Linked DNA regions of Callithrix jacchus. The protein of the gene in region 6 binds, or shares a complex with, the protein of the main gene of each other region. Links are inferred from orthologs where the notes say so. Each region holds a gene or a part of one and is shown on either strand. Other genes may lie near its edges.

What was found.
Region 1: TAF4 (region 6) and TADA3 share a complex: the UniProt entries of both Homo sapiens proteins name them as parts of the TFTC-HAT complex. The link is inferred for Callithrix jacchus from reciprocal best matches to the Homo sapiens genes TAF4 and TADA3.
Region 2: TAF4 (region 6) and TAF11 share a complex: the UniProt entries of both Homo sapiens proteins name them as parts of the TFIID basal transcription factor complex. The link is inferred for Callithrix jacchus from reciprocal best matches to the Homo sapiens genes TAF4 and TAF11.
Region 3: TAF4 (region 6) and TAF7 share a complex: the UniProt entries of both Homo sapiens proteins name them as parts of the TFIID basal transcription factor complex. The link is inferred for Callithrix jacchus from reciprocal best matches to the Homo sapiens genes TAF4 and TAF7.
Region 4: the proteins of TAF4 (region 6) and TAF12 are in contact, whole or in part, in a crystal structure (PDB 1H3O), measured with the Homo sapiens proteins. The link is inferred for Callithrix jacchus from reciprocal best matches to the Homo sapiens genes TAF4 and TAF12. Residues at the interface, in NP_003176.2 of Homo sapiens: Phe872, Leu873, Leu874, Pro877, Leu878, Arg880, Arg881, Ile882, Ile885, Gly886, His889, Gly890, Ile891, Thr892, Glu893, Leu894, His895, Asp897, Val898, Tyr901, Val902, His904, Ala905, Thr906, Gln907, Gln908, Arg909, Leu910, Gln911, Leu913; in NP_001128690.1 of Homo sapiens: Val57, Leu58, Thr59, Lys62, Leu63, Leu66, Val67, Glu69, Val70, Glu74, Met83, Leu84, Ile87, Ala88, Asp89, Phe91, Ile92, Glu93, Val96, Thr97, Cys100, Ala103, Arg104, Ser108, Ser109, Thr110, Leu111, Glu112, Val113, Lys114.
Region 5: TAF4 (region 6) and TAF5 share a complex: the UniProt entries of both Homo sapiens proteins name them as parts of the TFIID basal transcription factor complex. The link is inferred for Callithrix jacchus from reciprocal best matches to the Homo sapiens genes TAF4 and TAF5.
Region 7: TAF4 (region 6) and TAF6 share a complex: the UniProt entries of both Homo sapiens proteins name them as parts of the TFIID basal transcription factor complex. The link is inferred for Callithrix jacchus from reciprocal best matches to the Homo sapiens genes TAF4 and TAF6.

The regions. Positions count from the first base shown.
Region 1 is NC_133516.1:66,944,169-66,946,878, forward strand, and holds the end of TADA3 (transcriptional adapter 3), read right to left. Parts: intron 2,156-2,710; exon of another isoform or gene 2,141-2,155; coding exon of another isoform or gene 2,019-2,140; intron 1,078-2,018; coding exon 885-1,077; 3' UTR 501-884; downstream 1-500. UniProt on the Homo sapiens protein: Functions as a component of the PCAF complex. The PCAF complex is capable of efficiently acetylating histones in a nucleosomal context. The PCAF complex could be considered as the human version of the yeast SAGA complex.
Region 2 is NC_133505.1:43,120,438-43,122,965, forward strand, and holds the end of TAF11 (transcription initiation factor TFIID subunit 11), read right to left. Parts: intron 1,430-2,528; coding exon 1,299-1,429; 3' UTR 501-1,298; downstream 1-500. UniProt on the Homo sapiens protein: The TFIID basal transcription factor complex plays a major role in the initiation of RNA polymerase II (Pol II)-dependent transcription.
Region 3 is NC_133503.1:39,749,875-39,754,157, forward strand, and holds TAF7 (transcription initiation factor TFIID subunit 7), read right to left. Parts: upstream 2,801-4,283; 5' UTR 2,024-2,800; coding exon 974-2,023; 3' UTR 467-973; downstream 1-466. UniProt on the Homo sapiens protein: The TFIID basal transcription factor complex plays a major role in the initiation of RNA polymerase II (Pol II)-dependent transcription.
Region 4 is NC_133508.1:65,279,059-65,282,558, forward strand, and holds part of TAF12 (transcription initiation factor TFIID subunit 12), read right to left. Parts: intron 494-3,500; coding exon 379-493; intron 1-378. UniProt on the Homo sapiens protein: The TFIID basal transcription factor complex plays a major role in the initiation of RNA polymerase II (Pol II)-dependent transcription.
Region 5 is NC_133513.1:96,372,799-96,376,830, forward strand, and holds the end of TAF5 (transcription initiation factor TFIID subunit 5), read left to right. Parts: intron 1-1,318; coding exon 1,319-1,496; intron 1,497-1,665; coding exon 1,666-1,843; intron 1,844-2,470; coding exon 2,471-2,688; 3' UTR 2,689-3,532; downstream 3,533-4,032. UniProt on the Homo sapiens protein: The TFIID basal transcription factor complex plays a major role in the initiation of RNA polymerase II (Pol II)-dependent transcription.
Region 6 is NC_133506.1:57,549,470-57,552,969, forward strand, and holds part of TAF4 (transcription initiation factor TFIID subunit 4), read right to left. Parts: intron 136-3,500; coding exon 1-135. UniProt on the Homo sapiens protein: The TFIID basal transcription factor complex plays a major role in the initiation of RNA polymerase II (Pol II)-dependent transcription.
Region 7 is NC_133503.1:13,469,746-13,473,245, reverse strand, and holds part of TAF6 (transcription initiation factor TFIID subunit 6), read right to left. Parts: intron 1,847-3,500; 5' UTR 1,792-1,846; coding exon 1,636-1,791; intron 1,530-1,635; coding exon 1,443-1,529; intron 1,316-1,442; coding exon 1,162-1,315; intron 951-1,161; coding exon 894-950; intron 458-893; coding exon 338-457; intron 1-337. UniProt on the Homo sapiens protein: The TFIID basal transcription factor complex plays a major role in the initiation of RNA polymerase II (Pol II)-dependent transcription.

The DNA.
Region 1 (2,710 bases), on a different chromosome or scaffold from region 6:
TGGAGTTTTACTCTGTTGCCCAGGCTAGAGTGCAATGGCGGGATCTCAGCTCACCGCAACCTCTGCCTCCCGGGTTCAAGTGATTCTCCTGCCTCAGCCTCCCGAGTAGCTGGGATTACAGGCATGTGCCACCATGCCTGGCTGATTTTGTACTGTTTGTAGAGACGGTGTTTCTCCATGTTGGTCAGGGCTCATCTTGAACTCCTGATCTCATGTTATCCACCCGTCTTAGCCTCCCAAAGTGCTGGGATTACAGGTGTTGAGCCACTGCACCCGGTCCACACCCACACATTTCCTTATTGTGAATCCACTTGGAGCTGGGGGGTGTTGTTACCTGCAGCCACGAGTAACCTCAGAAAGAGGTGCTCAGAAAGTTCTCCCTGAATGAATGCCACAGGTTGGTGGTCACGGGCTGAGAGCCACCAAGCATATCCCTACAAACCTTACCACCCACACTGGTTCCTTCCTACCTCACCGTAACAGACATTCAGACTGGATGCTTTTTTTGAAAAACCACAGCAGTCACTTTATTCTTAGTTTGCACTTTATAAAACCACAGGGAGAAGTCCTTGACGGGGAGAGAGGGGTAGGGGGTTAGGGAGTAGGGGATGGTAAAGAGAGGGAAGAGGAAGATCCAGAAACGAAGCCCCCCCAACCTCATCTTGAGAACCAAGCGGACTAGGCCCCAGGCCAACCCAGCAGGGCTTCCTATGTCCTGGCTATACAGAGCTAGGCAGGCCAAAAGACCTCAAAGGAAGGGCCACGGTCCTCTAGAGACTGCCACCATTTGAGGGACAGCCACAGGCCAACGCTCCCTGTGCCCAAAGAAGGAAGTGGGCCTCCCTTCCCCTCCCCCAGAAGGCAGCCTGAGGCAAGGGTGAGGGCTACCCATCCAGCAGCTTCAGGATGCTCTCACGCTCTTTCAGAGTCTTCCAGGCCTGGTCCTTTTCTTTCTTGGTGGGAGTCCGCTTCTTCTGCCGGGCAGCCATGATCTTGCGAAAGGCATCCATGACCTCATTGTCAGCCATGCGCACCCGCTGCCTCAGCTCCTGCCGGCTTACCTCCTCCTTTGCCAGCCTGTTGGGGACCAGCCAGCCAGGTGTCATGGTCAGCCCACCTCCAGAGAGTGGTCCCTCCCTCTTCCAGACTGAGCTTACCCACCAGCCCAGGCTGGCACGCCTGTGGATTGTTTCATACAATCGTGACCAAAAAGCAGTTACTGAACCACACTTATATAGCATAATTTTAAGCTCTTGAAAAATTAACTCATGTTGATCAGGGAGGAGGGTGTGCACATGTAAGGACAGGAAGTATATGAGAATTCTCTGTACCTTCCTCTCAATTTTGTCGTGAACTTAAAACTGCTCTAAAAGAATAAAGTCTTGGCTGCACATGGTGGTTCACATCTGTAGTCCCAGCACTTTGGGAACCCAAGGCAGGAGATCACTTGAGCCCAGGAGTTCAAGACCAGTCTGAGCAACATAGTGAGACTGTCTCTACAAAAAATTTAAAAAATTAGCTGGGTGTGGTGGTGCACACCTGTAGTCCCAACTCCAAAGGAGCTGAGGACTGCTTGAGGCCAGGAGTTCAAGGAGTGAACTGTGATCATGCCACTGCACTCCAGTTTGGGTGACAGAGCATGACTGTGTCTTAAAAAAAAAAAAAGGTCTTAAAAACATATACAGTAGGCTGGGCAAAGTAGCTCATGCCTGTAATCTCAGCGCTTTGGGAGGTGGAGGAAGGAAGATGACTTGAGGCCAGGAGTTTGAGACCAACCTGGGCAAAAGAGCAAGACCTTGTCTCTAAATAAAATATACATATGCATACACACACACACACTCGCTCTCTCTCTCTCTGTTAATCCTCCTAACAACCCTGCAAAGTATGTACTATTATTCTTATGTCACTAATGAAGAAAATGAGGCTCAAAAAGGATCCCAGGATTCCACAGTTAGTAAGTGGGAGATCTGGAGCAGGCTGGGGCCGAACTCTTGTTTTTAAACACTGTTCTTTAACAGGTGCTCCGGTGCCAGCAGAAGGCCTGCTTACTTTGGCATCCATATTCAGAGCCCCCTCACGGTGTAGGCAGCCTGAGGTGGACAGGAGGTGGGTGAGACACCAAATTAATCCCTCTGAATAGGATGTGATTTATACATTTCATTGATGGTGGAGCTGGAAGGTTGCTTAGCAATTGAGTCCAGCCTGCCAGTTTTCCAGAAGGGGAAGCTGCTGCTCAGGCCAGGCGGTGTTTAAGGCCTTGCAGCTGTTCTGCAGCAGGGTAAGTGCTGTGCTCTGGTTTCCTAAGAGCCACAAGCCATTTCTTTATTGCCCATTACTTTTTTTTTTTTTGAGACAGGTCTCACTCTGTCACCCATGCTGGAATACAGTGACCTGATCAAGCTCACTGCAGCCTCCCCCTCCCAGGACCAAGTGATCCTCCCACCTCAGCCTCCTGAGTAGCTAGGACTATAGGCATCTGCCACCATGCCTGGCTAATTTTAAAAAATTTTTGGTAGAGATGAGGTCTCACCACATTGCCCAGGCTAGTCTTGAACTCCTGAGCTCAAACAAGCCTCCTGCCTCAGTCTCCCAAAGTGCTGGGATTAAGGCATGAGCCACCAGGCCCTGATAGGGCCCATTACTTCTGTAACTGCACATGCCTACTTTTCTCTCTTTTTCTGTCTCTCCTCCTTCCTTTAGTGCCTCTTTC
Region 2 (2,528 bases), on a different chromosome or scaffold from region 6:
CTTCCGTAGAGAGGAAAAATTATTGGGGATTGCCAATTACATACAGTAGCCTTATTACTGCGAATCACTGTCAATAAAAGGTCACTTCATTCCCCTCCATTTGAGAAAAACAATGAGAATGTATCTGATGAACTGGAATCCCAGTCGTATTGGGAAACTTCAATGTTGCAATATCTAGTCAAACTTTGAGTGTACTGGTTCTGTGAACCACCTGTAAAAACAAATTAAATTTATTAAATCATAATGGTTGTTGTATATCTGTTGATAAGCATCTGAAATATATGGGCTTTTATATTGTTTATTTTCTCAGTTTTAGGGGGAGATTATTACATTGTTTTTAACAGTGCTTGAAGTACTCTTTTATGAGAGAAAATTTTAATGGTTTTATTAGAAAAAGGACTCAAATTTTCACAAAATAGCCAAAACCAGTTGTATTGGAACACCAGAAAATAATCAACTTCCCATTACCACCAGCTAGACAGAAAATGAATACACATAAGGCAAGTTGGAAAACAGTTTAATGATCACTCACCAAAATCCACAGGAGAATCTTAAATGTTTACAAGCACCAGTTATTCCACGATTCCTGCCTTTACCACGTCCTTCATGGTAGAGTATCACAAGTCAAAGTTTCTGGTTGTTTCATCTACTTAAAACTGGTTGTAAGAAACGAACTAAGTCTTAGCAACTTTAGGCTTCAATGTGAAACCATTAAAGCTCTTGGCACTTAAGGAGGCTGAGGCAGGAGGGCTGCTTCAAGCCAAGAGTTCATGACCAGCCTGGGCAACAAAGCAAGACCCCATGTCCATAAAAAATAAAAATAAGTTAACTGGACACAGTAGTGTGTGTCTGTAGTCCTAGCTGCTCAGGAGATTGAGGTGGGAGTGTCACTTCACTTAAGCCCAGGAATTCAAGGCTGCAAACATGCCGCTGCACTCCAGCACTCTAGCCTGGGTGACACGCAAGACCCTATCTAAAAAAAAAAAAAAAAAACCTCTTGGAAAGATTTTTCTCTCTGAAAGCAGTTCTCCTGTCCAGAAAATGTTTATGGCCCACACTTCTTCCAACTGGCCAAGACAAATACTTCAAAATGCCCCAAGAGGTCCCAAAATTTAGTCAAGGCAAGTATCAAACAGGCTACATACTTTCTAGGTGTGACGAATAATCAAGAGTTTTGAGAGACATTAAAATCATGGAATCCTTGGAGGACTGAGATACTAAAGCACCAGTAGCCAGTCTTACAGGAAGTCCGGAACCAATACTTCTTCTGTCAGTAACAGGCCTTTCTAGACTTTGGTCTAGAAGAAGATGATTTTTTTGTGCTTCGAGTTAGGGATCTGTCCTTTTGACTTTAACCTTCTAACAGCTTCCCTCATATGTTTGGGTTGCAGTGGTGGCATTTCTCCCCATTTCTCACACACATCCAGTGCTAAACAGAGGGTAAGGAGAAAGTCTTATTATCACACAAGAATTTACTAATCACATAATCCTTTTGAGTCCTGTAATTCTCGTTAACCTTTCTTAAGCTTGCTAAGGAAATAAACCAAGACATTTTTACTTTAAGAGAATGATATAAAATGTATCACATTAGTTTTAGTATAACATTTCATATCAGGCTTTATCATAGACAGCAGTTTAAAACATATTTCTTATAGGCCGCATGCTATGGCTCATGCCTATAACCCCAGCAGTTAGGGAGGCCAAGGTGGGAGGATTTGCTTGAGCCCAGGGGTTTGAGACCAGCCTGGGCAACATGGCAAAACCTTGTCTTTACAAAAAAATTAAAAAGCCAGGGTGGTGGTGTGCACCTGTGGTCCCAACTACTGAGGAGGCTGAGGCAGGAGGATCACCTGAGCCCAGGACCTGCTGTCGCAGTGATCCATGATCATGCCACTGCACTCCAGCCTGGGCAGCAGAGTGAAACCCTGTCTCAAAAAAATAACTACATAAAAATAAAATTAAAAATTAGCCAGGTGTGGTAGTGCATGCCTACAGTCCTAGCCACTTGGGAGGCTGAGGCAGGAGGATCCCTTGAGTTCAGGAGTTTGAGGTTGTAGTGAGCTATGATCACACCACTGTTATCATCTCATTTTGTACACCATCTTAATTGATGATTTGTAAAAGAAAAAAAAAAACATGAAAAAAACTAAAGATCATGCCACTGCACTCCAGCTTGGGCAACGGAGCAAGACCCTGTCTCAAAAAATAGTAATAATTTAAAAGTATGTATCTCCTGCTTAAAAAATAAAAAAATTCACCAGCTAGAGTAGCAATGGGAAACAGCCAGGCTTTTTACTCAATAACGGGGGCAGCTCCCAGGGATCACTACATTAGGGACAACTTACCATCCCATACAGGTCAGCCCTGGGATTGCTTTTCTTTTATTTATTTATTTTTTTACTTCCTCTAACACGGATCATAGGAAACAATGCTTTTCTTATATCTTTACTTTTGGCAGCAGAAATGAGCAAAGTCCACTGGAGAAAAAAAATCTAGGCCAGGTGCAGTGGCTCAAGCCTGTAATCCCA
Region 3 (4,283 bases), on a different chromosome or scaffold from region 6:
ATAAATAACCTCAGTTCTTAGAATATTAAATAATTGTAGGAACTCAATTGAAGAAAATTAGAAATAAAATCTTAATTCAAACCAATGGAATGGTTCATTGGACTGCACTTGATAACCACTGCTTTGTTTTCAACATTTTAAGCAGGTAGATTTAGTGCTTTTAAAAAAAAAAAAGCACAAAGGCCTTCATCTACAGAAATTATGGTAAAGAAAGCTCTGTATCTAATGTTTCCCAGCTTCAAGTAGATCAGACAGAATTGGAACCTTAATGTGATGCAAATTTGACAACTCCCAATTTCTTTATCCCTGCTACGTTCCTTTTTTTTTTTTTTTTTTTTTTTTTCATAAAATCCAACTGCTTCTACCTGCAGAACAGGATTAAATTGCTCAGTTACTAAACTCCACCACAAAAACACCTCCCAAGAGAATCTCACTCCCACCAACCATGAAAGAACAAGATACATTATAAGGTGAAAAACAGACGCTTTTATTTATTGTATTGAAAACTTTATAAAATAATTTGCAGTTCTACATATGGGAAACTGCTTTGAATAACTGGGAAAACAGCTATTGCATGGGAAAACATATACAAACCAGCTTCACTGTCTCTAGACTAAGTTTTTCTTATTGATCTCATGTCATCACAAAGCAGCAACACCAGCTTCTAGGAAAATGGATAAACAGCAAAGTCCTGCAGTGAAACTATAATTAAGGTTGAACCATACATTACACTAATACTGCAACTTTCCTACAATCATTTTTCTGCCTATATAATTTTTCTTATAGGATTAACAACTAGCAAAACAAGGTAAGTTTGCAGAAAAACAAAATTAAAAACAAAAGAATTCAACAGAACACCCAGCATTAGAGGGACTAGGAAGGGCAAGGTCTTAATATGCAGTACAAGTAATAAAGCTAAGAATTTTCTACTGCTGACCAGTCTGAAGACTGAAATTCAGTAGCAGAGTTCTTTTTACTTCTCTAGGAGTGATTCTAGCTCCTCTTGCAAAGAGCTGAGTTGCTCCTTTTCTCGATCTTCCTTTTGCTTGAGCTCATCCAGTACAGCCTGAAATCTGTTCTTGAGAGCCAGATTTTCCACTTTCATGATGAGATCCTCTTGTCGTTTTGCCCTGTCCTGGGTCTCTTGGAGCTTGCCTTTCATGTTGTCAATCTGCTTCTGAATTCCCATAACCAGCTGATTGGTTCCTTCATTCTTTTGGTGCTGTTCGTCTGATGCATTTAACTTCTCCTGTAGCTGTCTCTCCAGATCTTCCTCAGTGTCAATGATGTTTATATCTTCTTCATCTTGATGCTGGGTCTCATCTTCATCCTCACTGCTGCTGCTGAGGTCATTGAATATCTCTCGAAGCTCATCATGCTCTAATGAGTCATGGCCCTGCCTGTGACCAGACATTCCTGGAGAAGAGATATCCAGGCCTTGATTTTCTGTCTCCTTTGTTTCATCTTCAGCAATTATTTCCCACCGAGTACTAACAGCTTCAGCATCTGTACTCAGCAATCGTTTCACTTCTTTCTCCACATCTGGAGATTCAATATACTTCTTCTTTGCTGTCTTCCGGAACCTTCTCTTCCTGACATTCTTTAGAGGCAGAGTAATTCCGTGGTTCCAGATGAACTTTTTCTCTTTGTCCTTATCCTTTTTCTTGCTAGCTTTAGGATCAGCGCTAGCAACTGGCTCCTCCACTGGAGGATAGAGATCACCATCAACTGTGGCTACAAGCATCTGAGAGATATCAGCTGTCTTGTAAAAGGTTTTCTTATCAATGGTTTTCAAGCTTTCCATAACACAAGGTAGGTCAACCAATTTTGAGGCCAATGGAACACGGTCCACTCTGACAATTCCATGACGCCCATCAGGGTGTAACTCAATTGTCAGTCTGTCCTTGAGGTTGACATGACCAGACTGTACTGCCCTTCTCACAGTAGAGGCATATTCTGGAGGCAGACGTAAGATAAACTGGCTCTCCAGTTCGTGAGGAGCATCATCTTTGCTTTTACTCATCTTTATTTCTTTGTGACTCACTTCTCCAATAAATGCTGGTTACACTGAAAAGTTCCAGCTACTGCAACAGTTTAAAACACCAGTTTGCTATGAATTGAAATCGTTTAATTACAAGAAGTTCTCTGTAGATCAGCAGCTAAGCGTCTATTTTGCTTCAGTTTTAAGTCCAAGTCTTTTCTCTAAATATGCTGTGACTGAATACCAGTCGTTACTGACAACAATGGCTTATTCACAGATTTTTCATTAAATCAGATGCAATGCCAAGTCCCAACCTCTAGGTGCCGCTGCCGGACAACGCGGATAGAGCTAGCTAGCTACAGAGCAGGAAAGCAAATGGCGGCTCCCGCGGAACGGTTTTCGGCCCAGAAAGCCCAGCAGAGACACTCCCAAGTCACAGACTCTCCCGGAACAAAGACATTCAAAAAATCGGGGCGCAGTAAGCTCTCTTCGCCTCGGGTACTTACAATCCAGTGACGATTATAAGTTCAGTTTCACCCGGTTGGAGCGAACAGGAGGCCGAGCGGAGCAAAGCGGGAGCAGGCCGAGCGGAGCAAAGCGGGAGCAGGCCGAACGGAGCAAAGCGGAAGGAAGCCGAACGGAGCAAAGCGGGAGGGAGCCCAGCGTCTCCTTCTCGTTTCCTTTGTTCTTCCTGCTGGTTTGCAGAATGATCCACTACCGATTACTGATGAAAGGGCCCGGGACGGGCAGCGCGAAAGCCTGACGAGAGCGGCAGCCCGCAGCACAACAACCGTCAACTCGCTGACCCTCCGACTGAGTGCCCAACCCAGCGAAAAAGGAAGTGCTACGTCACGGCGCGGGGCGGGAGGCGGCTGTGAGTGACAGCCCGCCCGGGCGGAAGTGCGGAGCCCGGCGTGCGCCGGCGCAATAGCGCAATTACGGTGCCCAGCGTGAAGTTCGTCTTTTCGCGAGAAATGTTCTTCCAGGATGAAAATGGCAGGGTTTCGTAAGGGCTGTTGGTTTCAAAATATTTAAAGGTTGGAAGTTCCAAGAAAGATACAGATTCATCCCCCGCTAAGCCAGCACTTTTACGGGATCGATTTGGGGCTCGATGGCTTTTAGACTTCCGGGTGATCCCCGGAGATGGAGTCCTTGCTTCTGGAAACATCTCGGATGCTCCCTAGGGTCTTAACCAATCTGGTGTCAATACAAGAATGTGTAGCTGCTATGCAATGGATTTTAAAGTACCCGAATTAGTGGAGTGAGGACATGCAGCTCGCTATATAATTCTCTCTCTCTCTCTCTCTCTCTCTCTCTCTCTCTCTCTATATATATATATATATATATATATTTTTTTTTTTTTTTTTTTTTTTTGACACAGAATCTCACCCTGTCACCCAGGCTAGAGTGCAGTGGCGCGCGATATTGGCTCACTGCAACCTCCACCTCGGGAGTTCAAGCTGTTCGCCTGCCTCAGCCTCTAGAGTAGCTGGGATTACAGGCACGTGCCACTACGCCCGGCTAAGAGAAGGGGTTTCACCAGGTTGGCCTCCAACTCCAGACCTGAGGTGATCCGCCTGTCTTGGCCTTCCAAAGTGCTGGGATTATAGGTGTGAGCCACCGCGCCCAGCCCACAGTCTACATTGTTTTAATTCTGAGAATGCCTGTAGGGGAATCCTACCTCTGGATTTACTTTTGTTCTGGAATACTCCTGGGGAAACAAGGATGATTCCTTTTTATGTGCTTGATTTAGATGTAAATGTAAACAGTGAAGGAAGTGTTCTTCTGGAAGCACAGGTTCATTTTGGACAGAATTGTCTGATAGCTGAGCATCTTTTTAAAGTAGATATAATGGAAGTATTGTTTCCTGCCTCTCTTGTAGCTAATTTTAAATTACTCTGGAAATTTTTTTTTGCACTATCTCTGTTTTGCTGTTTTCTGCTTGTCTTTTCTATGGCTAGTCAGGTATTCTTCAATGCATGCTTTTAGTATTTTGGCATAACTGGATAATAGTACTTATTTCTATTTATTTTTAAAATAAGATCTGTTTGGTAGAGCATAATGGCCATTAATACTTAATTTCTATCCTCTAAAATATTAATTGCCCCTAAATTTAAGAGAATTCTCTCAAGATGTAATTAACAGTTCCAAAATTCACTTTATTGCCTTATGATCCAAAGCTCCGTGATAGTGATCTTTTTCCATCTTGGCCGTTGTGTCCCAGTTCATAGTATCAGAACTTGGGAGATACACAAAAAATATTTGCTAACTGAATGAAAAAATTGATTCATCTAGAGAGATC
Region 4 (3,500 bases), on a different chromosome or scaffold from region 6:
TACCAGGTCCTACTTTGTGCAGGCCCAGTGCCAGTCACTTTACAGACATAGTCTATAATTATCAGATTTATCCTGTAAGGAGGAGACTATGATCCTCACTTTACAAATGAGGAAACAGAGTCTAAGAGAAACTAGGTAGTAAAAATAGGCTGATACAGCTGGAAAGTGGCAGAATCTGGTTTCAAATCCATGCCTGCGCTCATTCCCCCTACCATGGATGGATTTTTCTTTTCTATTTAGTGCTGTTATTGAATTAATACATAAATCCCAGTGCCCAAAAGTCTGGTTCTGGCATGAAGGTTCCTCTGACTACACTTCCCCTGGCAGTCCTGAAGCAGCAGGTGAATACATATTTCAGGGAGAAACAAAACCACATACCTAAATGTAGCTGGACATCTTTCACCTCCAGAGTGCTGGACTTGCGATGCCGTGCAAGCTGACAGGCTGCTGTCACCACACTCTCGATAAAATCATCAGCAATCTGCAGCAGCATCTGGGGAAGGTAAAGTGGGGAGAGTCACCACGACATTGGCAAATAGGCTTCTGGTGGTGGGACAACTGCTTTCTGCTTAGGTTATATATCTAGTCAGGATTTCTAGTAGAAGGCTGGAATTAGCATTTGGGCTAAGGTGGGGAAGAGGAATGAGAAGGACAAAAGAAAAACATTACCCAGGTTGAGTATAACTCACACCTTTCTGAGCATATACTTTCTTTTTCTTTGAGATGGAATCTCGCTCTTGTTGCCCAGGCTGGAATGCAATGGCATGATCTTGGTTTTCTGCAACCTCCACCTCCTGGGTTCAAGCAAATCTCTTGCTCAGCCTCCCAAGTAGTTGGGATTACAGGTGCCCGCCACCACACCCAGCTAATTTTTGTATTTTTAGAGATAGGGTTTCACCAAGTTGGCCAGGCTGGTCTCAAACTCCTGACCTCAGGTGATCTGCCCATCTCAGCCTCTCAAAGTGCTGGGATTACAGACTTAAGCCACAGCGCCCGGCCTCAGCATATACTTTTTACCTGGCAGTGATCAACTATCACAATCCCTACCTTTCATATCTTTATTGGTGGAAAAATAAAAGTGAATCATTTGAATTCCTCACTCACAGACTCTTAAAAGCACTTTTATTTCTATTATCTCACTTAGTCCTTGTAATTATCCTATGAAGAAAATTGGACATGGATTTTATTCATTCTATAGAGGATTTTAGAGACTCAGAGAGACTAATTTGTTCCTGGCCATGTAAGGAGAAAGCAGAAGGCCAGGTGCAGTGGTGCATGCCTGTCATCCCAGCACTTTGGGAGGCTGAGTTGGAAGAATCATTTGAGGTCAGAAGTTTGAGACCAACCCAACAATACTGAAAGACCCTCATCTGTATTTAAAAATAAATAAATTGAGGGTGGACATGGTGGCTCACACTCATAATCCCACAACTTTGGGAGGCTGATGTGGGCAGATCATTTGAGGTCAGAAGTTCGAGACCAGCCTGACCAACATGTTGAAACCCAGTCTCTAAGGGTCAGGTGCGGTGGCTCACTCCTGTAATCCCAGCACTTTGGAAGGTCAGGCAAGTGGATCACCTGAGGTCAGGAGTTTGAGACCAGCCAAAATAATGAAACCCTGTTTCCACCAAAAATACAAAATTAGCTGGGCATGGTGGCAGGCATATGTAATCCCAGCTACTCTGGAGGTTGAGGCAGGAGAATCTCTTGAATCCAGGATGTAGAGGTTGCAGTGAGCCAAGATGGTACTATGGCACTCCAGCCTGGGTGACAAGAGCGAAACTCCGTCTCAAAAAAAAAAAAAAAAAAACCAAAAAACCAGACATGGTGGCTCATGCCTGTAATCCCAGCTACTTGGGAGGCTGAGACAAGAGAATTGCTTAAACCTGGGAGTCTGAGGTGGCAGTGAGCCAAGACCGCACCATTGCACTCCAGCCTGGGTGACAGAGCAGGACTCTGTCTCAAAATAATAACAATAATAAAAATAATAAATAAGTTAATTAATTAATTAAAAAGAAAGAAACAAGAGGAACCAGGATTCCACCTAAAGGGTTCTGAGTCTTAATCCTGAGTTCTTTCCACATCACTATCAATTATTATTGGACTGTGTGAAGAGAAGGATGAGAATTCTGAAGATAATCATCTACATGAGGCCAGGCACAATGGCTCACTCCTATAATCCCAGCACTTTGGGAGGTTGAGGCAGATGGTTTGCTTCAGCTCTGGAGTTCAAGATTAGCCTGGGCAACACAGATGGCAAAACCCTATCTCTACAAAAAATACAGAGATTAGCTGAGTTTGGAGGCATGCACTTGTAGTCCCAGCTACTTGGGAGGCTGAAGTGTGAGGCTTGCTTGAATCCAGTTAATCAAGACTGCAGTGAGCGGTGATTGTGGCACAGCACTCCAGCTTGGGTGACAGAGACCTTGTCTCAAAAATAAATGAATAAATAAATACATGAAAAAAAACTGAGGTTACTTATTTATTTATTTATTTTTGAGACGGAGTCTCACTCTGTTGCCTAGGCTAGAGTGCTGTAGCATAATCTGGGCTCACTGCAACCTCTGCTTCCCAGGTTCAAATGATTCTGCTGCCTCAGCCTTTCAAGCAGCTAGGATTACAGGCACACACCACCACGCCTGGCTAATTTTTATATTTTTAGTAGAGATGGGGTTTCATCATGTTGGTCAGGCTGACCTCTAATTTCTGACCTCGTGATCTGCCCACCTTGGCCTCCCAAAGTGCTGGGATCACAGGCATGCGCCACTGTGCCTGGCAAAACTGAGACTTTTATCAGTCAATATATTTCCCATGGCTTCCTCTAGTGACAAACAAAAACAAACTAAAATTACAACCATAGACACAAAATTCCTTATTCTGGTCATTAACTCAGTGTCATCTTTACTGTGGGAACCAAATGGATACCATCTAAAAGAAAGACTTCTGATTAAACAGCAGATCAACTCCAAAAATTACTGCCTATCCCTCCCACAGTGCATTAAAATAAACAGTTAAAAAAAAAAACCAACTTATTGCCAGGTGCAGTGGCTCACGCCTGTAATCCCAGCACTTTGGGAGGCCAAAGCAAGTGGATCACTTGAGGTCAGGAATTTGAGACAAGCCTGACCAATATGATGAAACCCCTTCTTTACTAAAATTACAAAAATTAGCCAGGTATGGTGGCGTGTGCCTCTAGTCCCAGCTACTTGGGAGGCTTGAACCTGAGAGGCAGAGGTTGCAGTGAGCAGAGATCATACCAATGAACTCCAGCCTGGGCGACAGAGTGAGACACCATTTCAAAATAAATAAAATAAAATAAAATATTAATCCACAAAGACATCAGCAACAGAAGAGAAAATCTGAATGGGCAAGAATTTCCAATAAACTTTTTTTTCCTGAGCCTTACCATAGAAAAGAACCAATAACTTTTTTTTGTTTGTTTTTGAAACAGGGTCTCCCTCTATTGCCCAGGTTGAAGTACAGTGGCCCAATCAAGGCTC
Region 5 (4,032 bases), on a different chromosome or scaffold from region 6:
CCAGCCAAATCCTGCTTTTTAAAAAATACTTAATTAACAGTACTCCCTGCAATTTTCTCCATATGGATATTATTTTGTGTCAGGGGGCCATGACCGAGTAGCTCGGTAAGAACACTGTGATCTTATGACTGGGTCTATTCAATGATCAGAATGGTTTCTTGTTGGGAATTACAGCAGCCAGCCAAAATCATTTAACTTCCATTATTAAGGATCAGCTTTGCATTTATAACTAATTTGAAAATCAGTTTTGGGAAGGAGTATTAATATATCTGCAATTACATCTATTTGAATCCTGCTTATATATATATATATATATATATATATATATATATATATATATTTTTTTTTTTTTTTTTTTTTTTAAGAGAAGGGGTTCACCATGTTGGTCAGGATGGAGGATGGTCTCGATCTCCTGACCTCGTGATCCACCCTCCTCGGCCTCCCAAAGTGCTGGGATTATAGGCATGAGCCACCGTGCCCAGCCAAATCCTGCTTTTTAAAAAATACTTAATTAACAGTACTCCCTGCCACCCCCATCAGATGCTTAACCTTGTCTTCCACTACCACTGTGAGCACCTTTATGTTTCTCTGTATTCTCCTTAGAAGTTGAGGATAAGGTAGCTCAGGTTAGAAACTATTTGGCCAGGTGTGGTGGCTCACACCTGTAGTCCCAGCACTTTGGGAGGCCGAAGAGGGCAGATCACTTGAGGCCAGGAGTTCCAGACCAGCCTCGCCAACATGGCAAAACCCCATCTCCACTGAAAAAACAAAAAACAAAACTTAGCCAGGTGTGATGGCACGTGCCTGTAGGCAGAATTGCTTGAACCCAGGAGGTGGAAGTTGCAGTGAGCCGAGATCACACCACTGCACTGGGTGACAGTGAGACTGTGTCTTAAAAAAACCAACTGTTTGGTGGCCAGAACTAGGGCAAAATACTTCCTCGTGGTTTAGAAAGGAATAGGGAAGGAAGAGGAGTATACAGAGAATTGAGTTCTATAACTTAAATTTCGGCAGGGTACAATGGTACAGGCCTGTAGTCCCAGCTACTGGGGAGACTTAGGTGGGAAGATTGCTTGAACCCAGAATTTGAATCCAGCTTGAGCAAGACCTCAGCTTTTTTTTTTTAAAAAGACAAAACAGTACCAGATCAACTCTTAGGACGGTTAGTCTCATTCTTCTTCCCTCAGTTAACTAGTAAGTGGGAACCACTGGAACTAACATTTCATACAGATGTTTCTATATTTATTTTGGATCGATTTTTGGCATTTCACAGCTAACTCCTAATTGTCATCTTTTGCTTTTAATAACTTTATAAAAGGCTTTGGGCTACAGACCACTATCAGCCTTTAAGGATATTTGCTGGCCATCTTGCTGATGTGAATTGTACCAGATTCCATCCAAATTCTAATTATGTTGCTACGGGCTCTGCAGATAGAACTGTGCGGCTCTGGGATGTCCTGAATGGTAACTGTGTAAGGATCTTCACTGGACACAAGGTATTTTACACTCTTATTATTCTAGCATCCGAAGTTGCTTTCAACAAAAAAATATGTTTTAAACAAGTAACATAAATTTTAAAGACACCATTCTTTCTACAAAACTTTTAAAATTTTTTCTTATTTTCTTGGACATACTTGACTTTGGTCCTCTAAATTTCTTTTCTAGGGACCAATTCATTCCTTGACATTTTCTCCCAATGGGAGATTCCTGGCTACAGGAGCAACAGATGGCAGAGTACTTCTTTGGGATATTGGACATGGTTTGATGGTTGGAGAATTAAAAGGCCACACTGATACAGTCTGTTCACTCAGGTTTAGTAGAGATGGTGAAATTTTGGCATCAGGTAAATGACTATTAATGGCTTTATGGTAAATGGTATGGTAAGAGGAAACAGTGTTGACGATTGCTAAATTAAGTCCTGATGTTTCAGGTTTTGCTTTCCTTTAGCTATGATTCCAGTGTCACCCTACACGAATGACTTCTCAGTCTGGACTTCTCAGGTGGACTTAAAATACCACCTGAAGGGCTGGGCGCGGTGGCTCACGCCTGTAATCCCAGCATTTTGGGAGGCCGAGGCGGGTGGATCACGAGGTCAAGAGATCGAGACCATACTGGTCAGCATGGTGAAACCCCGTCTCTACTAAAAATACAAAAAATTAGCTGGGCATGGTGGCGCCTGCCTGTAATCCCAGCTACTCAGGAGGCTGAGGCAGGAGAATTGCCTGAACCCAGGAGGCGGAGGTTGCGGTGAGCTGAGATCGCGCCATTGTACTCCAGCCTGGGTAAACAAGAGCGAAATTCCGTCTCAAAAAAAAAAAAAAAACCACCTGAAATGCTCCTTTAGGAGTAGTTGTTGGCCAAATTTAGATTTTTCACCCAAAATGTACAGTAAATACATAAAATGCATTGGACAGTCTCAGAATCTAAATATGATGGATGCAGCTAATGGTTTCCTTTGACTTCCCCTTAGGTTCAATGGATAATACAGTTCGATTATGGGATGCTATCAAAGCCTTTGAAGATTTAGAGACAGATGACTTTACTACAGCCACTGGGCATATAAATTTACCTGAGAATTCACAGGAGTTATTATTGGGAACATATATGACCAAATCTACACCTGTTGTACACCTTCATTTTACTCGAAGAAACCTGGTTCTAGCTGCAGGAGCTTATAGTCCGCAATAAACCATCGGTGTTAAAGACCTTTTGGAAGCTACTGTTTTTAAAAAGGGAGACTAAAAGCAAATACCTCAGTGATTAATATTTAAGCTACAAAGAATGTTTTTGTCTATACGGATCTGGAAGTATGCTGCTTGGAAAATCTGAACATGACAGTTCCACGTTTCTATAGCAACCACATTTGACTAATTTCCGTTAGTTGAATAAGAGGTATTATGTTCATGGAGGGGACATTTATGGTGCTTTGGATTGTGTGGAAACTATGCATTTTCTGTTCAAATGCTATTTTAATTTATTACATTTAGAAAAAAAGTTAATTTCAATAATTCATCCTGCTTCGAGATTCAAAATCAGAAATATATCATTTTGAATTTTAGCTGAAGAATCCTATGAGCATGTATGTTTCTGCTGTAAAAATGTAGTTACTATATGGCACTCAAGTACTATGTAAAATGATCTGCTAATTTTTTTTTCTTGGCCCATGATTAGTGGAACATATCTAACTATGTAGGGTGAACTACAGTTCCTATTTTAGATCTAGATTTAATACAGCTCTCCACTGACATCTGAATTTATATACCTGTTGAGTTTTGAGTGCAGCCAAACACTTGATAAACGAGTTGAGGAAATTTAGCTTCCATGTTCTACTTCAGCTAAAACAGCTACATACAACCTAGTACACTTGAAGTCAGACAGACATTTCCGTTGCTTACCTCCAGTACTGAGCCTTGCTTTGGGAAACTAAAAGATTTAGACCAAGTCACTGCCAGTTTTTGCCTTTGTTGCATTTTGTACAGTTTTTATATTTTTGATACCTTGTAAATAAAGACCAGCTTTTCCAGGTTCATAATTTATTGTACAAATTGTATTATCACATGATGAGTTGGGATTAGCTTCTCCAGGCATGGAACTTAACAGATGAGGTTAAGAACCAGAGGCAGTTTAAAATCCTATAAACAAAGCAAAAAGTTTAGATACAAACGTGGTCAACTTTAAAGACATTGAAGAATTACTAAGATACATGAACCCACTGAAATTGAATGCAAATTTATTAGCCTGTCAGAGGCATAAAACCAAAATTAAGGTATAACTCAGATTAATACATTTTTTTTTTTTTTGAGACAGTTTCCCTCTTCTTGCCCAGGCTGGAGTGCAATGATGCGATCTTGGCTCACTGAAACCTCTGTCTCCCGTGTTGAAGCGATTCTCCTGCCTCAGCCTTCCAAGTCCTGGGATTATAGGCATGTACCACCACGCCCAGCTAATTTTTTATTTTGAGAGATGGGGTTTCACCTTGTTGGTTAGGCTGGTCTCGAACTCCTGACCTCAAGTGATCCACCCACTTTGGCC
Region 6 (3,500 bases):
ATGGCTTGTCTCTCGTTCATTTTCTAAACAAAATATGAGGTCCCTGAGGTTGACCCGTGTAATTCTTTGTCGTGTGAACTGCCTGGGGGTTCCAACACCCGAGCTGCCTGGGACCACTGAGCCGGAGCCCGACCCCTGGTGACGAAAAAGGAAAAGACAGTTGTGTTAGTGGGGTTCGAAGCGGGGCTGGCAAGGGGTGCCGCCTGTTGGCTGTCCCAAGTACCCTGATGCCAGAGGAGGCCAGGCCCGGCCGGGCCCCTTCCGGCAGGCCCACAGGAGGAGCCGTTCAGGGCCTGCCAGGGCAGGGGTGAGGGCAGGAGGCCCCACACTGTGCCTTCAGGATAGGGCAGACTCAGACACTGCCCAATGCCCCACAGTACTCAGACCAGGCCCGGGGCTGAGGACGGACCAGGGGGTGGCACCCGCCCAAGGCGGATGGCTGAGCAGTCCCAGGGTCACCCTCCATGCGACCGCAGCAGAGGGCACAGAAGCCACACTGTGTCTCTGTGTGTCATCCCTGCTTGGCTGCTGAATTCCTGCACTGGGTGTGCTGGGTCAGCTAAGAAGGCTGGATTGCTCAGTGGTTCCCACAGTCATCCCCGGCTCCTCCACAACCCTGCACAACCCTCCCTCTGGCTGGGCCCTGGCTGCAGAGACCCTGCCTCTGCCAGCCCCCTCCAGGTGTCCAGCTGTGTCCTGAGCCGCCTCAGACACCTTCCTGCTTGGAGAAGCATAGCTGCTGGGTGCCAGTTCTTGTGGAGTGTTCCTGTGGTTTCAGCAGACAACACCTGCACGACACCACCCAGCAGGGCACATGCCAAACTCCCAACAGCTGCTGTTTCCCCATTTGGCTGAAAACCAAGGCCTGCCATGGGGGTTAAAGTTGCTCATGTATATTTAAGTACAAAGATTACGATGGCATCTTTACAGCACGTTCTCAACCGCAGTTAAGATGATGGAAGTAACGGATTCTGCTCTGTGCATGGGAGCCAAACTGTGGGCAGCTGCAGGCGAGGCCCAGCTGCCCCGACCTGGTGCCCTCATCTTGCCCTTCCTCCCATCCCCCCTCTGCCATTATCAGTTCAGGCTGGGAGCACAGCTGCCCTGTGTGATGGTCTCTAACCGATGGCATTTTCTTTATTCCTATGAGACTCAAACAGTAGAGGGCACCGTCTCCCTTCAGATGCCCTGAGCCTGAGGGCCCTTCTTCAGATCCGCCCTGGGTCCCTCTGCTACTGAAGCCTCTGCAGGCTCCACACTCGCTCATTACAAACTGATCCGCACCTGATCAAGTTTGGGCGGGTGACAGTTTGCAGAGTGAGGGCGGGGATCTCACAGGCACCACCCAAGCAGGCTGTGACCCAGTGACACCTGCTATAGATTCCAGACTGCGGTTTGATGTGTCTACCTCAAAATAGCTCAGCAGCCAAGAAAGAGGGCTGGGGTGAAAGTGAGACGCTCATCTTGGGAGCACAATTTAAGGGATGCTGAGAGTCAAAAATCAAAATATTCTAATGCAAGTGTCAGCAGCAACCAAGGGCAGGGGGCGAGGCAGTGCCTGCTGGGTGCTGAGGCCACCCCCAGGCCCAGCACACTGAGAACCTGATGCCGGGCCCTGCTTCTGTGCCAGGCTCTGAAGGTACAACTATGAATGAAAACCATAAATTCTCCAGGTTCTATGAGTTTAATAAATAAAACTAATTTTTTTCTTAAATCTTTTAAAAAAAAAAAAAAGAAAAAGAAAAACAAGCTTACCCGCGAATCTAACCTACCCAATATTCCAACTGCCCCTCTCTACACAGTGCCCTCCACCCTCCCCACCCGCCTCACCCCAGGCAGGAGGGTCCACACTCCCTTGTCTTTCCAACAGGGTCTTTGCTCACAGAATTCTATGTGGAGTTTGGCTACCACAGAAGGTCCTATGCTAAATTGCTCTGAAGACAGAGTGGAGATCTCATGGGAACCTCTCCCTCCGTTCTCAGGACTGGGGCTGCCGGCGGACCAGGGTCTTCTGTGCCCAGCCCACACAGCAGTGGCAGCGGCTTTCCTATCTAGGTTCATTGAAACCCCTCATGGGCTATGCCCATGGTGGGCACAGAAGCCCGGGGGACTGGTCATGGAGCCTGCTGGGAGGAGAGTGAGGGCTTCCAACCCCAATGGGAGGCTGGAGGACAAAGCGTCTGTGGGGACCAGAGCCAGGGCACCCATGGACACTCTAGAGGGACTGTGTGACACACACAGGCGCAATGTTGCAAAGCAGGGCCTGGGACAACACAGATCCACGAGGGCCAGCACAGACATGAAGCCCTAGGGGGCCTCGGCCTAAACAACTCAAAACACAGGGGCTTGGGGTTTTCTAGGTGCAGGCACTGGGATTAGAGAATAAGCAAGCGAGTGAGCAAACATAAATCCCCACGACCTTGGACATGCCACGTGAACCCTCCCTGAGCTGGGTCTCCGCCTCTAAAAATGGCACCACAGGCACCCCCTGCCCTGTCACAGGGCTCTTAAAAGGGCCAAATGAAAGGAGGCGATTTCTCCACCATGCACGTGCCACAGGCACTTGAAGTTGAAGCCCAGTGCAAAAGAGTCACCATCAACAGATCCGCCTGGTGCAGGGTCTGTGCTGCCCGAATGTCAGGACCCGCACCAGCAGCGTCTGGGCTGTCCCGGAGGAGCAAGTCTGCTCCTAGGGTGGGAGCCCACTGGGCCATCCTTACCTCCACCACCACAGAGCCCCAGCCACGGGTGGCGACAGCTGCGCCCACAGCCGCCTCAGCAGCAGGTACAATGGCCCGTGCAGCACACGCTCCAGCTGCTCTGCCCTGAATGCATGCACACCCCCTCCATGCCTAACCACTCAAAGGGCGCCACACGCGAGGCCCGGTCATTGCGGCACATTTTCCAGGAGATCAGTAGTAACGGAAAACTCGGACACACAGCCTAGACAGTGAATACCACTTCCGGGAGGCTGAGGGTGACCTGGCTGCGCAACTGATGTCTCCAGCCTTTCTTCCAATCACAGCTCAGCACAAGCAAAGAACACAGGTCTATAGCAGCATCGCTGCCTGCGCAGGGCGCGGACGAGGGCACCCAGACTTCAAAATCACCGCAAGTCAGCACAGAGTCAACACACGCTGAAGCCTGACCCCCAATCCCTTCCCTGCAAGGCCACAGCGGGGCAGGTCCATAGGAAGCCACTGCTGAAAGGTTAAGCCACCTCAAGTCCGAGGGCCTGAGAGGTGTCCAAGGTGGTCAGCATAGAGCACAGGGCAGGGACTGCCGAGCATGAGACGGGAAAGGGTCATCAAGGCAACATGGCATGTCCTGAGAGGAGCCGTTTGGCGAGTGGGTAGTGAGGCAGAAGAGAAGGAAAAGGGGCAGTGCTGGGTCCTGCAGGAAACGGCCAGGACAGCCCAAGGACCATGTGGGTCCTGCACACCCGCAAGGATCTGCTTAGACCCCGACTTCCCCATGCAGCCAGCAGAGGGCGCCGGGGA
Region 7 (3,500 bases), on a different chromosome or scaffold from region 6:
GGTGGGCGGATCACATGAGGCCGAGTTTGAGACCACCAGCCTGGTCAACATAGCAAAACCCTGTCTCTACTAAAAAAAAAAAAAAAAAAAAAATTAGAAAAATTAGCAGGGCATGGTGGTGGGCACCTGTAATCCCAGCTACTTAGGAGGCTGAGGCAGGAGAATCACTTGAACCCAGGAGGTGGAGGTTGCAGTGAGCTGAGATTGTGTCACTGTACTCCAGCCTGGGTGACCGAGTGAGACTCTGTCTCAAAAACAAAAACAAAAAAGAAAATGAAACAAACGGCTATGTGGCTTTGGGCAAGAGTCCAGAGAGGCCTGACCTAGTAGGACTGACCTTTGCTGTCGGCTGCGGCAGCCCCTTGACCTTTGCCTTTCAGGGGTCCGTCTTCCTCTTGGCCTGGCTTGGCTGACTTTAAGGGTTCTGTGGCTTCAGCCTTCTGTTGCTCTTTGGGAGCTGGTGGGAAAGCAGGCACAATGGGAAGGGTGATGAGAGTAGCAGGAAAAGTAAAAGGTGGGAGAAGGCGGGTACAGTTGCTCACACTTATAATCCCAGCACTTTGGGAGGCCAAGGCAGGCAGATCACCTTAGCTCAGGAGTTCAAGACCAGCCTGGCCAACATGGTCAAATCCCATCTCTACTAAAATTACAAAAAACTAGCCAGGTGTGCTGGTGTGTGACTGTAGTCCCAGCTACTCGGGAGGCTGAGGCACAACAATCACTTGAACCCAGGAGGCAGAGGTTGCAGTGAGCTGAGATTGTTGCACAACTGCACTCCAGCACTCTAACATGGGCGACAGTGAAACTCCATCAAACACACACACACACACACAAAGGTGGGAGGAAGGGGAAAGGGACCAGATACCCAGAGGGTGGGGCATGAAGAGGGTTACCTGGGGGTGGGTTCTCAGGGATAGCTGGCTGGCAGCCCTCGATGCTCAGCCAATGAGCTGTAAGGAAGGCAGGTGTCAAGGTGAATTGCCACACATGGACACTGGGGAGTTGCTCCATGCTATGGAAGGTATGTTTCCACTCCTGCTCCCCTTGCAACTCACCCGGGATCTCACACTGAGGTTTTTTTCTATTGTGAGGCTCCTCACACCCACACGCATCTGTCCGACTTTCCCTCCTCCCTGCCACCCTCCTCTCCCCTCCTTCAACCTTTGAGGCAGACGTCCAGGGGCACCCGGGGCAGAGGGGTATTGATGATGTCACTCAGATCAACCTCCTTCTCCTCGTAGAAGTAAAGCTCCCGGCCCCCACCAGAGGCGAATCGGAAAGGAATGAACTCCTGGGCATGGAAGCCATAGAGTGGCTGTGGCAGGAGAGAGAGGCATGGGTGAGAAGGGAGCTGGAGGAGACCTGGCTGAAGGATGGCGTCTCACCCTGGTCTCCACTGCCCTGTCCCCATCACCCGCCCCCTGCCTGTCTCCCCCAGTCACCTCAACATTCTTTAGCTTCAAGGCATAGTCAATGTCACTGGTGGTGAGCTTCTGCCGCTTCCCCATGTGCATGAACTTCAAGGCATCCTGGGATGGGTGAGAGAACAGATGTCAGCCCAAGACCCTAAAGAAGGAAGGGGCCCCGGGTGACATCTTGGACCCAATGTGGAGCTAGAGAGAAGAGCTGGGTCACCTGTGCAATCTCTTTGATGCGGTAGCTGACCTCATCCGTCAGCAGCTGACAGGTCTCCTCCTGAATCTGGGCAATGCCCATGGATTCAGCCACCACCTTCATGGACTCCGAGGGCAGCACGGTGTTGCTAAGCTTCAGCTTCTTCTCCTCAGCCATTCTGGAGCCTTTTCCTCCCCAGCAGGATGAAGTTCCTGGTGGAGAGACGGAGACCCTGGCAAAGGGATGGGGCAGGCAGAAGAAAAAGAAATGTGAGGCATGAGGAGAGGGCCAAAAATGGAAGACAGTGGAGAGAGGGAGTAACTCAGGGTGTCTTCCATCCATCCCCACATGAGTCAGCCCTGAGGTATTACAGAGAAGAAAATCTGGGCTGGGGCCAGATGTGGTGGCTCATGTCTATAATCCCACCAGCACTTTGGGATGCCAGGGAAGGCGGATCATTTGAGGTCAGAAATTCAAGACCAGCCTGGTCAACATGGCGAAACCCCATCTCTACTAAAACTACAAAAATTAGCCAGGCATGGTAGTGCACACCTGTAATCCCAGCTACAAGGGAGGCTGAGGCAGGAGAATCACTTGAACCCAGAGGGCAGAGGTTGCAGTGAGCCAAGACTGCACCACTGCACTCCAGCCAGGGTGACAGAGAGACTCCACCTCAAAAAAAAAAACCTCTGGGCTGGGCCTAGTGGCTCATGCCTGCAATTCTAACACTTTGGGAGCCTGAGGTAGGAGGATCGCTTGAGCCCAGCAGTTCGCAACCAGCCTGGGCAATATAGTGAGATCCCATCTCTACAAAAAGTACAAAATTAGCTGGGCATGCAGGCTTAAAGCTATAGTTTTAGTTACTCAGGAGGCAGAGGTGGGAGGACTGATAGGGCTCAGAAGCTCCCAGGATCAAGCAGTGCTCACACCTCAGCTTCCCAAGTAGCTGGGACTATAGATGTGTACTATCAGCACAGCTAATTTTTTTTGTTGGGGGGGTACAGAGTCTCACTATGTTGCCCAGGCTGGTCTTGAACTGCTGGCCTCATGCAATCCTCCTGCTTTGGCCTTCCAAAGTGCTGGGATTAAAGGCCTGAGTCACCAGGCCCAGCCCATATTTCTTTTTCTGTTATACCTCAAGGCTTCAATCCCAGCACTTTGATGTCTTGGGCTCAAGGGAGCCTCCAGCTTTTGCTTCTCAAAGTGTTGGAATTAGAGGCATGAGCTGAAGTGCCTGGCCCAGCCTCAGCTTTCCTTATCTGCACAGCACTGCCATCCGTCCAGGCACTTGTTCTTTATCTAAGCCTTCACATCAGATCCACCAGGTGGTGGCTCAGGCCTGTAATGCCAGAACTTTGGGAGGCTGAGGTGGGCAGATCACTTGAGGTCAGGAGTTCGAGAACAGCCTGGCCAACATGGAGAAATCCTGTCTCTACTAAAAACAGAAAACTCAGCCGGGTATGGTGGTGCGTGCCTGTAATCCCAGCTACTCAGAAGGCTGAGGCAGGAGAATCACTTGACCTTGCGGGGTGGAGGCTGTGGTGAGTTGAGATTGTGCCATTGTATTACAGCCTCGGCGACAGAGACACTTCATCTCAAAAAATATATAATAAGATTAAAAAAAAAAAAATCCACCCAGTAGTCCAACCTGACTGTCCTGTTCTCGCTGCTTGGCCCAGGTCACCATCATCTATCCCCTGGTAACTCTAAAAGCCTCCAGACAAGGTCCACTGATCTCTACCCTTGTCTCTCTCTACATCTGTTCCTAACTTTGCAGCCAAAATGCTAATGTCAAACTGTAAAGCATATTGTCATTTCTTTGCTCAAACCCTTATAATGGCTCTCCACTTGCCACAGAGTAAAACCTGAAATCTTTATAATGGCCA